4 linked regions of the Saccharomyces cerevisiae S288C genome follow. The protein of the gene in region 1 binds, or shares a complex with, the protein of each later gene. Each region holds a gene or a part of one and is shown in the gene's direction. Other genes may lie near its edges. The genes, in order: MRPL20, MRPL11, MRPL1 and MRPL49.

What was found.
Region 2: MRPL20 (region 1) and MRPL11 share a complex: the UniProt entries of both Saccharomyces cerevisiae proteins name them as parts of the mitochondrial large ribosomal subunit.
Region 3: MRPL20 (region 1) and MRPL1 share a complex: the UniProt entries of both Saccharomyces cerevisiae proteins name them as parts of the mitochondrial large ribosomal subunit.
Region 4: MRPL20 (region 1) and MRPL49 share a complex: the UniProt entries of both Saccharomyces cerevisiae proteins name them as parts of the mitochondrial large ribosomal subunit.

What each region holds. Positions count from the first base shown.
Region 1 is NC_001143.9:598,594-601,628, reverse strand, and holds MRPL20 (mitochondrial 54S ribosomal protein mL58 MRPL20), read left to right. Parts: upstream 1-1,947; coding exon 1,948-2,535; downstream 2,536-3,035. Other genes in the region: DEAH-box RNA helicase PRP16, read right to left, coding at 1-1,772; ribosome dissociation factor GTPase HBS1, read left to right, coding at 2,739-3,035. UniProt on the Saccharomyces cerevisiae protein: Component of the mitochondrial ribosome (mitoribosome), a dedicated translation machinery responsible for the synthesis of mitochondrial genome-encoded proteins, including at least some of the essential transmembrane subunits of the mitochondrial respiratory chain.
Region 2 is NC_001136.10:96,954-99,724, forward strand, and holds MRPL11 (mitochondrial 54S ribosomal protein uL10m MRPL11), read left to right. Parts: upstream 1-1,521; coding exon 1,522-2,271; downstream 2,272-2,771. Other genes in the region: ACK1 (Ack1p), read right to left, coding at 1-1,000; TRM8 (tRNA (guanine46-N7)-methyltransferase), read left to right, coding at 2,608-2,771. UniProt on the Saccharomyces cerevisiae protein: Component of the mitochondrial ribosome (mitoribosome), a dedicated translation machinery responsible for the synthesis of mitochondrial genome-encoded proteins, including at least some of the essential transmembrane subunits of the mitochondrial respiratory chain.
Region 3 is NC_001136.10:682,224-685,333, reverse strand, and holds MRPL1 (mitochondrial 54S ribosomal protein uL1m MRPL1), read left to right. Parts: upstream 1-1,752; coding exon 1,753-2,610; downstream 2,611-3,110. Other genes in the region: TMA64 (Tma64p), read left to right, coding at 1-1,388; mitochondrial 54S ribosomal protein bL34m MRX14, read right to left, coding at 2,842-3,110; YDR114C (uncharacterized protein), read left to right, coding at 3,108-3,110. UniProt on the Saccharomyces cerevisiae protein: Component of the mitochondrial ribosome (mitoribosome), a dedicated translation machinery responsible for the synthesis of mitochondrial genome-encoded proteins, including at least some of the essential transmembrane subunits of the mitochondrial respiratory chain.
Region 4 is NC_001142.9:244,597-247,475, forward strand, and holds MRPL49 (mitochondrial 54S ribosomal protein bL21m MRPL49), read left to right. Parts: upstream 1-1,893; coding exon 1,894-2,379; downstream 2,380-2,879. Other genes in the region: SAP185 (Sap185p), read left to right, coding at 1-662; enoyl-CoA hydratase PHS1, read left to right, coding at 995-1,648; mitogen-activated protein kinase kinase kinase BCK1, read left to right, coding at 2,659-2,879. UniProt on the Saccharomyces cerevisiae protein: Component of the mitochondrial ribosome (mitoribosome), a dedicated translation machinery responsible for the synthesis of mitochondrial genome-encoded proteins, including at least some of the essential transmembrane subunits of the mitochondrial respiratory chain.

The sequences.
Region 1 (3,035 bases):
TATACTTGCAAAAACTTTTCTTGCAGAGTGTCGAACGTTGTTTCAATATCTTCTTGACCTGTCATGAAAATGAGAATATCACCGCTTGAACAATCGTTTGCTAAATGAATTTTCACAGCCTGAGAAACTGCAGCTTCTACGTAGTCTTGAACAGGGTTGGAAGTATATATGGTCTGTACGGGGAAAGTTCTTCCAGGAATTGTGAACTGAGGAGCATTACCAAAAAATGCGGAGAACTTCTTCGCATTCATTGTTGCTGAAGTGATTATGAGTTTTAGATCTCTTCTACGTGCTAATAAAATCTTGAAAAAACCTAGTAAAATGTCTGTATTTAATGACCTTTCATGAGCTTCATCAATAATAACACACGAATATTTATCGAGTGTATCATCCAATAAGGTCTCTCTGAGTAGAATACCATCCGTTACAAACTTAAGTTTTGTACACTCAGAATCCGTCACATCTTCAAACCTTATAGAATAGCCTACTTCCTTACCCAATGGAACTTGCATTTCCATTGCAACCCTTTTTGCAACGGATATGGCTGCTACTCTTCTCGGCTGTGTGACAACAATAGATTTCCCCCTATCGTTGGCATATCCTTCTTCATATAAATACTGTGCAAGTTGCGTGGTTTTACCTGAGCCCGTTTCACCAATTATCACCACTACTTGATTTTCTCTTATCAATGATAACAATTGAGATCTGCAGCGGAAAACAGGCAGTTGCTCTTTAGTATGTTTAATGTCATCTTTTGATGGCGTGAAAAGAGCTGTATCGTCGCAAATCTTTTGGTTGCTCTTATCTTTTGCTTTATTGTTATTCTCCAAGCCTAGTACTTCCCCCATGGCAGTGTTCAAAACAGTGGTGTTGTCTCGAGATTGTTGAATATGTTCCATGTTTATCCTTCTCAAGGCAACCAGCTTACTACCTCGTTTGGCGTTCGCAGAAAATTCACTGTCAGGATTCCTAAATGGATTCACCATTGATAAAGCGGATACTTGGCTGGACGTCTCAGAGATGGACCCGATAATTATGGAAGTGGGCACTTTGTTTTCAAGAGCAAACTTTGATAAAAAAGGAGGGATCCATTCCATTCTTTGCTTGAGTGGTATGGGGTATAATTGAACGGTATTTCGTAAGGCATCATCGTTGTCGATATTCCTAATGACAGGTAGTAGTTTCGCTTCCTCAGGCAATTCAGACAGAGGTTCAGGCACCAAATTTCCATAATCATCATCATTATCATACCATTCTCTGTCCTCCTCAACTACTTCGCTTCGAGTCGGTTCATAGTCCTTCGTTTCAGCATGACCATTCTGTGTTTGCTGTTCACTATTTGGAGAAGGATCCTTCACGGTGGGCGAATACTGCCTCAACTGTTTGGCCTTTAGTTTATCTATTCTCTTGAACAACGTCCGTGTAGGTGCTGGTTTTTTTTGAACTGGAGAATCTAGCTCATCTTCATTATCGTCAAGGTCTAACTGGATCTTAAATTTCTTTCTCTTATTTATAGAAGGGGCGATTTTCTTTGGGCCTGTCGAGTCCTCTTCAGATTTATTCTTGAGGAGCTCCAGAAGTTCATTAAAAATGATTGGATTGTTACTGCTGAGTTTCGTCAAAGCTTTACAGCTGGCAATAAACTGTTCTAGATTAGTATTCGGCTTTTGCGCTAGTTTCTGCAGTGTCAAAAGCAACCCAGGCGTTAGTTCTTTTGACGTAAGTTCCTTAAATATGTCTTTTATCCTTTCCTCACGCCCCGAATGACCCATACCAGAGGTATTTGTATTGTCTTTGGGCCTTCTTGTGTTTTATCATCTGCAGTCATCTCATGAATTTTTCAGCTTTCACCGCTTTTATTATTTGAGAAAATAGAAAAGAGGGCAAAAAGAGATACTTTCAACAAGTTAAAATGGAAAATTAAAGACAAAGTAAAATAGCACAAGAATGATTGGCAGAGGTGTGTGCTGCAGATCGTTCCACACTGCTGGATCTGCCTGGAAGCAATTTGGATTTCCCAAAACACAAGTGACAACGATTTACAACAAGACTAAGAGCGCATCTAACTATAAAGGGTATTTAAAGCACAGAGATGCTCCAGGAATGTACTATCAACCATCAGAATCCATCGCAACCGGATCTGTTAACAGTGAGACCATTCCACGTAGCTTTATGGCAGCCAGTGACCCTCGTAGAGGGCTTGACATGCCTGTTCAAAGCACTAAAGCGAAGCAGTGTCCAAATGTTCTCGTAGGTAAGAGCACAGTGAACGGCAAAACCTATCATCTGGGACCTCAAGAAATTGATGAGATCCGGAAGTTACGTCTTGACAATCCTCAAAAGTATACACGCAAATTTTTGGCTGCAAAATATGGCATTTCGCCATTATTTGTATCCATGGTCTCGAAACCTAGTGAACAACATGTACAAATTATGGAAAGTAGATTGCAAGAAATCCAATCACGCTGGAAGGAGAAGAGGCGTATAGCCAGAGAGGACCGTAAGCGTAGAAAACTCCTGTGGTACCAGGCGTGAATGCTATATAAATATAATAACAATCGTGTAAATACTACTCTATAAGTACTTCGTATTCATATATTGATCACAATGCACGGAGACGCCCATTAATGTGACTTGAATATACCACATGAAAGCTAACCAATAAGCAATTTAAAAAGAGTTAAGTACAGCTTGGAGACACCCAAAGGCTTCTGCTTCGACAACTATTGACTATCGAGATGGCTTACAGTGACTACAGCGATGGAGCAGACGACATGCCGGACTTTCACGACGAAGGTGAATTTGATGATTATTTGAATGACGATGAATATGATCTAATGAACGAGGTATTTCCTACTCTAAAGGCGCAGTTACAGGATTACCAAGGCTGGGATAATCTTTCACTTAAGCTAGCTTTGTTTGACAACAATTTCGATTTGGAAAGCACGCTGGCGGAATTGAAGAAAACTTTGAAGAAGAAGAAGACACCAAAGAAGCCAATTGCTGCTGCTAATGGGAGTGCGAATGTTACTCAA
Region 2 (2,771 bases), on another chromosome or scaffold:
AATAGGGTTGGTGTGAATACAGCGTCCCCATTAAATACATGGCAGGTGGCCATTTTAAAGTTATCAATTTTGTGAGCACCTTGAATGAATGTTCCAAAATGACTTTCTGGTTTTTGAGCATTTCCTCAGGCTTTAAGCTTCTTTTGAGCTTCTCCGCGTTTATGTTATATTGCGATATGAAATCCTCATTAAAGGCATATGTAAGTAATGTTTCACACCATTGCATTTGTATCTCGGGGGTGAATTTTGAAGAGTCAGTAATTGTCTTCTTGTACACTTGATAGAAAGCCAATGCCTCTGGTGAATAGGAAGACAGTTTGTCCTCACCACCTGAGGACCCATTATCGTCTGTCTTCGCGCTCCCAGTGGGTGGTTGGTTGATTTTTTGTGGTGGAACAGGATTATTATTCAAAGGTCGTATTGGAGCTTTTTCCTCGGTTCTGTAAACTTTTTCCTGCAGTATCCTAGATTCAGATTCCTCATAGGGTGGTGGCGCTGAGTTGTCCCTTACAGACTCTGATATTCGATTTCCACTGCTTATTGATGCATCTTGTACAGCTGGTGAACCCAAACTCTCTTTTGTAGAACTAAAATTGAAAGGAAGTTCATACCTACTACCAGTACTGTTGGTGCCATTATTGGCATATCCTATTTCACCTGTTGGCTTGGAATTAAAAATGTCCATGCCGTTATTACTATTTATGGTTACTGGAGTGCCTAATTGACCACCATCAGCATTCCCGTCTGTGAAATTCAGCGCACTCAAAGGCAGCGATAATGATGAGGAAGATGAAGGGGATGTAAAAGGAATAGCTGGTGTGAGTTCAACGATAGAGTCATCCACTGGATAGGGTGCAGGCACTATATTTTGAGCTGGCAAACCATGCCTATCCGAATTGGCATTTCCCAATTTATGCGAGGACTCCCGCGCCCTTGCTGGTGGAAACATGTTAATGTGTTTGTCATAGAGGTTAGGTTGCGGTTGGCCCTGATTAACCATTGCCTACTGTATTAAAACAAAGTATTAAAACGTGGTGGTACACTCTGTACAAAAGAATAGAAGGAAATGAAAAGAAAACGGAGTTAAAATCTACTTCATAAAAAGAGACGCTTCCAAATCCAGTCTCTACCACGTTCTTGTATATAATTTGAGCAACTCAAATTAAATTACCGGGATATCTGCTTATTCTACAAGCCATAGCATCCAGTGCTAAGGTTCATCTCAAGCCATCTTCAATACACTTGATAATTAGTCGTCAATTTTAAAATTAGGTTTCGTTCTTGAAGGCACTTAACCTAAGCTTTTTACTATATGACCTATTAAACAAGTCTTTTTCATAGTGTAACCTAACGTTTATACACTAATAACCCTAGGGCTTAGTAGAGATTCATACAGAAAAAAACGTAGAGTTATAGCAGTAAACTGAGAAAAGAAAGAAGGTTAGTACAATTGAAGAGTAAGGAAAACAAAAGCTTTAGACCTTATTGGAAGTGCTTGGGCGCGGAGTGTGATTATAAATAATGTTGCAGCTAAGGTTTATGCCTGGATGGGTCCCCAGAAATGGTTTTTTTGGTTTGAAGGAGACAATTGGTACAGTACATAAGAGATTTTATGCTCTGGCTTCTGAACAACCCTCAAGAAAGACAGTAAAGCCGCTGGACTCGAGGAAGACGTTTCTCATCGATACATACAAGCATTTAATGGAGAACAGTTCTATGATTTTTTTTGTCCATTACAATAATCTTTCCAAAACAGAAGATCACCATTTCAGATTCAAGATTAAACAGACAGGAGGGAAACTCACAAAAGTAAGAAACAACCTGTTCGAAGTCTACTTGAGAAATTCGCATCTGCCCGACCCATGTGGATTCGTGAAGCGTAAAGAGCAAAACTGGAAACATCCACTCTTGCCACTACTGAAGGGTCCTACGGCCACAATTACATACGAAGACACCAACCCTCAACAAGTAGCCAAGCTATTGAAGGTTCTGCAGTCAGCACAAGACAAGCTGATGGTGATTGGTGCAAAAGTAGAAAACGAAGTTTTGAATGTGGAAAAAATAAACACTTTTAAGACTCTCCCCACAAAGCCGGAAATGCAGTCGCAGTTAGTCAGCGTTTTGCAAATGCTAAGTGGGTTGGGTTTGGTTCGTACGTTGGAAAACAGTTCAAATGCATTGTATTTAACACTAAAATCTCACAATGACAACCAAAAACCTAAAGAGGATGTGGAGTCAACTACAGATGCAGAATCGAAGGGATCAAAGTAAAAAGAAAATGCCCGTAATTCGACAAGTTTTATAAAGGTTTTACTATTCAATCATGTACATACATCATCAAAAAATAAAAAGACAATGAAGCAATAACGGTAAATATACTTTAGTCTATGTATTGACGTCAAAATTACCTTTCTTTTACCTTTCTTACCTTTTTACATATCTCAGCGACCGTTGAAAAAAAAAAAAAATGAAAAATTTTGGTGATGACTTCAGCAAAAAATTTCAGGATATTTCTGACATTTCACTTTATTAAAGCGCCACAAAAGCTGGATTAGTATAGATTCAGCAGTTCCCATAGGATAAAATTTTCAAGCGTTTATTGTTAAGATGAAAGCCAAGCCACTAAGCCAAGATCCAGGCTCCAAGCGTTACGCATACCGTATAAATAAGGAAGAAAATCGTAAGGAGTTGAAGCATGTAAAGATCAATGAAAGTTCTTTGGTGCAAGAAGGCCAAAAGATCGACTTGCCAAAGAAGAGATATTATCGTCA
Region 3 (3,110 bases), on another chromosome or scaffold:
TCAACGGCGCTAACTTAATGATTTCCGGTTCGATCCCACCCTTTGATCCTCGTTGTAAAATAGGTACTCTTTGTGGTATAGCTAGCAAACAGGCACCAGAAACTGTCTTAGCCATCGGTATTGTCGAATTAGATCTACCGTCCTTTGATAAAGTAATTGGTGAAACAGGAGTTGCTGTCAAAATCATACATCATTTCAATGATGGGCTCTCCAAAGTCTTTAAAATGAAATTGGAACCTCCATTTGTTCTCAGTACTCAATCAAAGGATAACAATATCAGTAGTAAACAGATAGAATCCTCGGAGCAAATCAAGGCTGTTGAAAAGGAACAAGAAGATGTAAAAGAAGCGTCTGTTGATGTAGAGGAGATTGCTGAAGTTCTAGACCATTTCACTGTGTCGGATGTAGATTATTTCATTACAAGAGCATTATATTATACCTTGACTCAAGATAAAGGTTTGGAATTACCCATTTCAGCTTCTAACTTCATCTCAAACCACATTATGCGTAATTTGCCTCCAATTGATCACAATGAAGTCAATGTAAAGAAAACTTCATGGAAAAAAAGCGCAAAATTTTTGAAACACTTCGAGAAAGAAGGCTTCTTGAAATTAAAAGGAAAGGGGGATGACTTAACTATTGTGGGCAAAAATACTGACAAGGATGAGTTAAAGAACTTTGTGCCATATAAGCTTGGTTGTAGCAAGTCTGCCACAGAAAGTAGGGAGAGCACAACCTCGAAGGAGAAAACATCTGGAATGATGTATTCACTGACTCTGTATAAACCCTTTAATCTTGCCAAAGATCTTTTGAAGGAGGTTAATTTGGCTTCTCACACGTACTACACCTCTCAGGACATTAGAAGCGCGGTTTCTCAGTATATTTCTGTCAAGAACCTAGCAGACACAAAAGATAAAGGAAAAGTTATTATGGACGATCTATTATTCGATATGGTCAATAAGAAGAAGAAAGTCTTGAATGCTTCACGTATCATTGCTAGAGGTGAAATTTTGCATCCCTTACTCACCAATAATTTTACCGAGTTCTATCAGATATTCAAAAGCGATGATACTCTCTTGTTCAAGGCGCCAATGAAGGGTTCCCTTCCGCATATTAAGATTATTACTGAAATGAAAATTGGCAGAAAAGTTATTACCAGAGTGAGCAATTTTGAAGTGTTTCAAGTCGACCCAGAATCACTTGCGGCTGACTTAAGAAAGATTTGTAGCGGATCGACAACAATAAGTGAATCACAAACATTCAAATGTGCTGAAGTGCAGGTTCAAGGTCCACACGGTCAATCGATCATTGATCACCTTAACAAGCTAGGTATTCCAAGCAAATGGATAGACTTTGAGAACAAGTTGAAGAAGAAAAAAAGAAAGTAGATTTATATCATATAAATGTTTAAATGCGTAAAAATGCCCGACATCAAAGCATATAGAACTTTTTTACCTAATCGAAGCTTTTCTAAAGTAGGTATTATGGTAGTCTTGAAACCCACAAAAAATATGAATGTATCATGGGAGGGAACGAAATGTTTTCAACAGCGGTAAAAATATACTATATTTGTATATCCAGTTCATCTTTACTATTCTCTATTTTTTAGTGTAACTTACATTATGAGACTAGCGACAAAATCTCCTTTTTAAGCGAAAAGAGAAAACTTTCGAAAAACCAAAGTATTTTGAAAAACGACCTGAAATAAAGGGAATTTGAAGAAAACTAAACAGTGATAAGTCATCAAAGAAGATGCTATCCGTAGTAGCGATCCCGAAAATATGTGTCACAGGTCCTGCAAGAAGATGCTTTTTTCATACTGCAAAAAAACTATACGCAGATGACTATAAACCAGCAGCTATGTCCTCCAATGCACCTTCGCTAACAAAAGACCAAGCCAAAAAAAGAGAGTTGAAAAGATTGGTACAACGAAAGGCCGAGGCAAAGAGACCAGCTACAGCAAGCCCATTGTACATGCCTGTTACAAAGGCACTAAGATATTTACGCGCAGCAGAAGTTGGCAGACCGCAATCGCAACAGACAATTAATTTGACTACATTGGTAGTCGGTGAAAGAGGTACAGCGCCTTTATCCGGTAGCGTGACATTTCCTAAGCCTTTGAGATATATCAAAATTGCTGCCTTTACCAACGACGAAAGTAAATTGGAAGAGCTTCGTGAGAAATACCCAAATCATTTGATTGGCGGAGCAGATCTTGTTGCCAAAATTAAAAGCGGTGAAATTAGCGTTGATTTTGACAAAGCATTTGCAACTCCTGATATTGTTCCAGCTTTACAATCGCAGGTGGCCAGGATACTTGGTCCTCGTGGGGTTTTACCCTCTGTCAAAAAAGGTACGGTGAGTGATGATATAAGCTCCTTACTTCAAGAAAGTCTAGGATCTATGCCTTTCAGGCAAAGGGGAAACTCTATCAGCATTGGAGTCGGCAAATGCTACTTCACTGATCGAGAAATTTTACAAAACATTATATCCGCTAGAGCGGCATTTAAAACTGCTGTTGATAATCAAAAATCTAAGAAACCAAATATACTGAGTAAAACCACATTATCAAGCACACATGGCCCCGGTATTGTAATCGATTTTGCTTAATCAGCGAATCAGTTTTGTCTTGTTGGACTTTTTTAATTGTATATATATATATACTGGTGCATTTTCTTTCTTTTTATATAAAATCATGTACATACAAAGTAACCGTCTTTTTAAAGTGGAATAAAGTAACTGCTCTTTTATTTTTGAATAATAGTGAAAGTGTATGTTGCATAATCATTAGATACCTATGTACAAGAAGTATTCAAATTTATCTGAATAGTATGTGAAATTTCAATGAGACAAAAACCACCTACCTTTGAGCTTCCTCCTTTTCAATATCTTAGAGCCCTGTTTGCTCTTGGCCCTAGCCAAGAAACCAAAAGTTCTCTTCCGTTTCAATGTACTAGGTTGATAGGTGTTACCCCTTGATTTCCATCTTCTTTGACCTATTAAGCCAAATCCCAACGGTGTGAAGGACGGAGTCTTCAATGGTGAACTGTTTAAGAGCATACCGGTTTGTGGGCGTAACACAGATAGAGCAGAGAAAGAAGATATAGATG
Region 4 (2,879 bases), on another chromosome or scaffold:
AATATCGTAATGGTGATTCCGTTAGAAGCAAAGAATCGAATTCATCAGAAGGCAAACGTGACCAAGAGCAGCTTTACTATGAGTACGTTAACGAAGATGGTACAAAAACAAGATTAAACTTCAATCCTGATTCTGACGCCACGGAACAAGTTCCAGGTGAAGTGAATCGCGATCATAAGATACCATTGAAGCTTAAGCGAAGTTTTACGGATGCATGCAAATCTGAAACAATACCAAATAATACAGTTAATGCTAAGGAAGAAAGTGTATTTCAATTTAGCAATGAACTTAGTGACGGCTGGGAGTCATCACCTTCTAATTCTATACCCAAGCGTGCTTCTCCATCAAAAAATGGCATGAATTCACCTATGTTTCAACACCAGTTTGAACTTCATAGCCCCACCGATGAATTTGGAGGTCATAAAGACGAAATATTAAGCGCGGAAGGCCATGACTACGACATAGATGAATACGATGAACTGAGCGATGACAGTGATGAAGAGTATGATAACTGTGAAGACGAAGACAGTTTGGATTATGCTGATTCCGCCGCATATGCATTGTGTAGATCCAAAAGTAAGGACAAGATATCATGGGATGAAGAAGAACAGGCGCGATTAATGGGCGTTGTAAAATTTAATTCAGAGCATTACAGGGACTAGGAAATAATACTAATTAAATAATTCTAATAATTCTAATATTAATAACAATAATAATAAGAATAATAATTATACAATAACACATGTATTTCCTAACTCACAATCGTTTGGACTACATATGCTGTCTAGTGCCTTATTGCGACTTTGCCCGTTTGATAACTTACTTCGATTGTTTAGTATTCAAAAAGGAAAAAGGCGTTTTCTTTTTCGTGTACTTTTTTTCGAAATTCTGTTGAATTTATTCGAACTCAGAATTGGTCCATCAAGAGCATCCAAAATACAAAATAACTCATCATCACACAAGAAGAAGCACAACTCCAAGCAATTTCTACAATATGTCAAAAAAACTTGCGTCACCATTGTCCTTCTTACCCCTTTATAATTTGCTTTCTGCTGTTGGTTGGTCTTATTTGCTTTACTTGGTCATCTCCTTGTACCCAAAAGTTGGACAGCCAGCATTCTTCTACCAAACTAAAAATGTCGCTACCCTTGTTCAATGTGGTGCTATAATCGAGATCATAAACTCATTTTTAGGAGTTGTACGTTCCCCATTGCTGACCACTGTTGCACAAGTGTCTTCAAGACTACTAGTTGTCCTCGGCATCTTCCAATTGTTGCCAAACACAAGTGGTGTTCAATCAGTTGTTTACATATCATTATTACTGGCATGGTCTATAACTGAGATCGTCAGATACTTGTATTATTTTTTCATGTTGGTATTCAAGAATGGCGCACCAAAGATCTTAATTCTATTAAGATATAATTTGTTCTGGATTTTGTACCCCACTGGTGTTGCCAGCGAACTACGCATTATTTACTGTGCTTTAAATGCAGCTGAATCTCAGTATTCTTTACTTTACAAAAGAATTTTAATAGCGGCCATGCTCGCTTATATCCCAGGCTTCCCAATGCTCTTCCTACACATGGTAGCACAGAGAAAGAAAGTCATGAAAAGTTTAAGATCCTCTTTCGGGAAGAAACTAATTTGAATTCTTTAGATAAATTCTTCTGTATTTTTTATAAGAATATTAGCCTTCACATTGAAATGGCTTCAACGCTCTTAACCATAATCACTAGTATCTTGCGGTGCACGGGCTTTATATTGAGCAAAATTGCGAAGGGTAGCCGAATTAGAGAACTCTTAGAAAGATGTCGAAGCTCACTCGGAGTCGACCTTCACAGCCTACTGAAACAACTGTGCCGAGACAATCTTAAGTGTGTTGCTCTAATTTTCATGCTACAACTGAAATTCATATGGCCAGTGGCCAGAATCACACCTATTTATAGGCCATTTACCAGTCATCCATTCAGAAATTTAGCTACTTCCTCAAGCATCAGTAGTACAAAAGCTAAGACTACTAAGACAGATACAACTCCACTAAAATTATCAAATGAACTATATGCAATATTCAAGATTCATAATCGTCCATATTTGGTGACCGAGGGCGACAGAGTTATTCTTCCATTCAAATTGAAGCAAGCGGAGGTGGGTGACATTTTAAACATGACCGATGTAACAACTTTAGGATCTAGAAACTACAAGCTAGTTGGTCATCCAATCAATACTTCTCTGTATACTTTAAAAGCAACCGTTGTTGGGAAAACTAAAAGGGCTTTCCAAACTAGGGAGGTAACGAAGAGAAGAAATAGACGGGTCCGTCATGCAAAGAGTAAAGGTGATTTGACAATCTTAAGAATATCAGAACTGAGTATGAACTGAATTTTAGGGATATGTACATATACGCATACGTATAAAATCATGTAAATAACAATAAAATTTGACACACTTTCTTCGGCCCCAATGGCCATTCAATTCCAGACCGACGCGTCTTCTAAGTTATAATGCTATGAAATTTCAACAAGTTAATTAAAAGTAAGCATAATAATAAAATCAGGTAATGGATTCACCAAAAAAAAAAATAAAAAAACAAGGGCAGAGGGGTGACCATTAGTACGAAACACTAAATATAGTATTAAAATAGTTCAACTCCACCTCCAAATGCCCTTTTTGAGGAAAATAGCGGGGACAGCACATACACATTCTAGGTCTGATTCGAACTCATCTGTGAAATTCGGCCATCAGCCGACTAGTTCGGTAGCATCAACCAAAAGTTCAAGCAAAAGCCCTCGTGCAACATCTCGCAAAAGCATTTATGATGATATTAGAAGCCAATTTCCCAACCTAACCCCCAACTCTACCTCTTCTCAGTTTTACGAAAG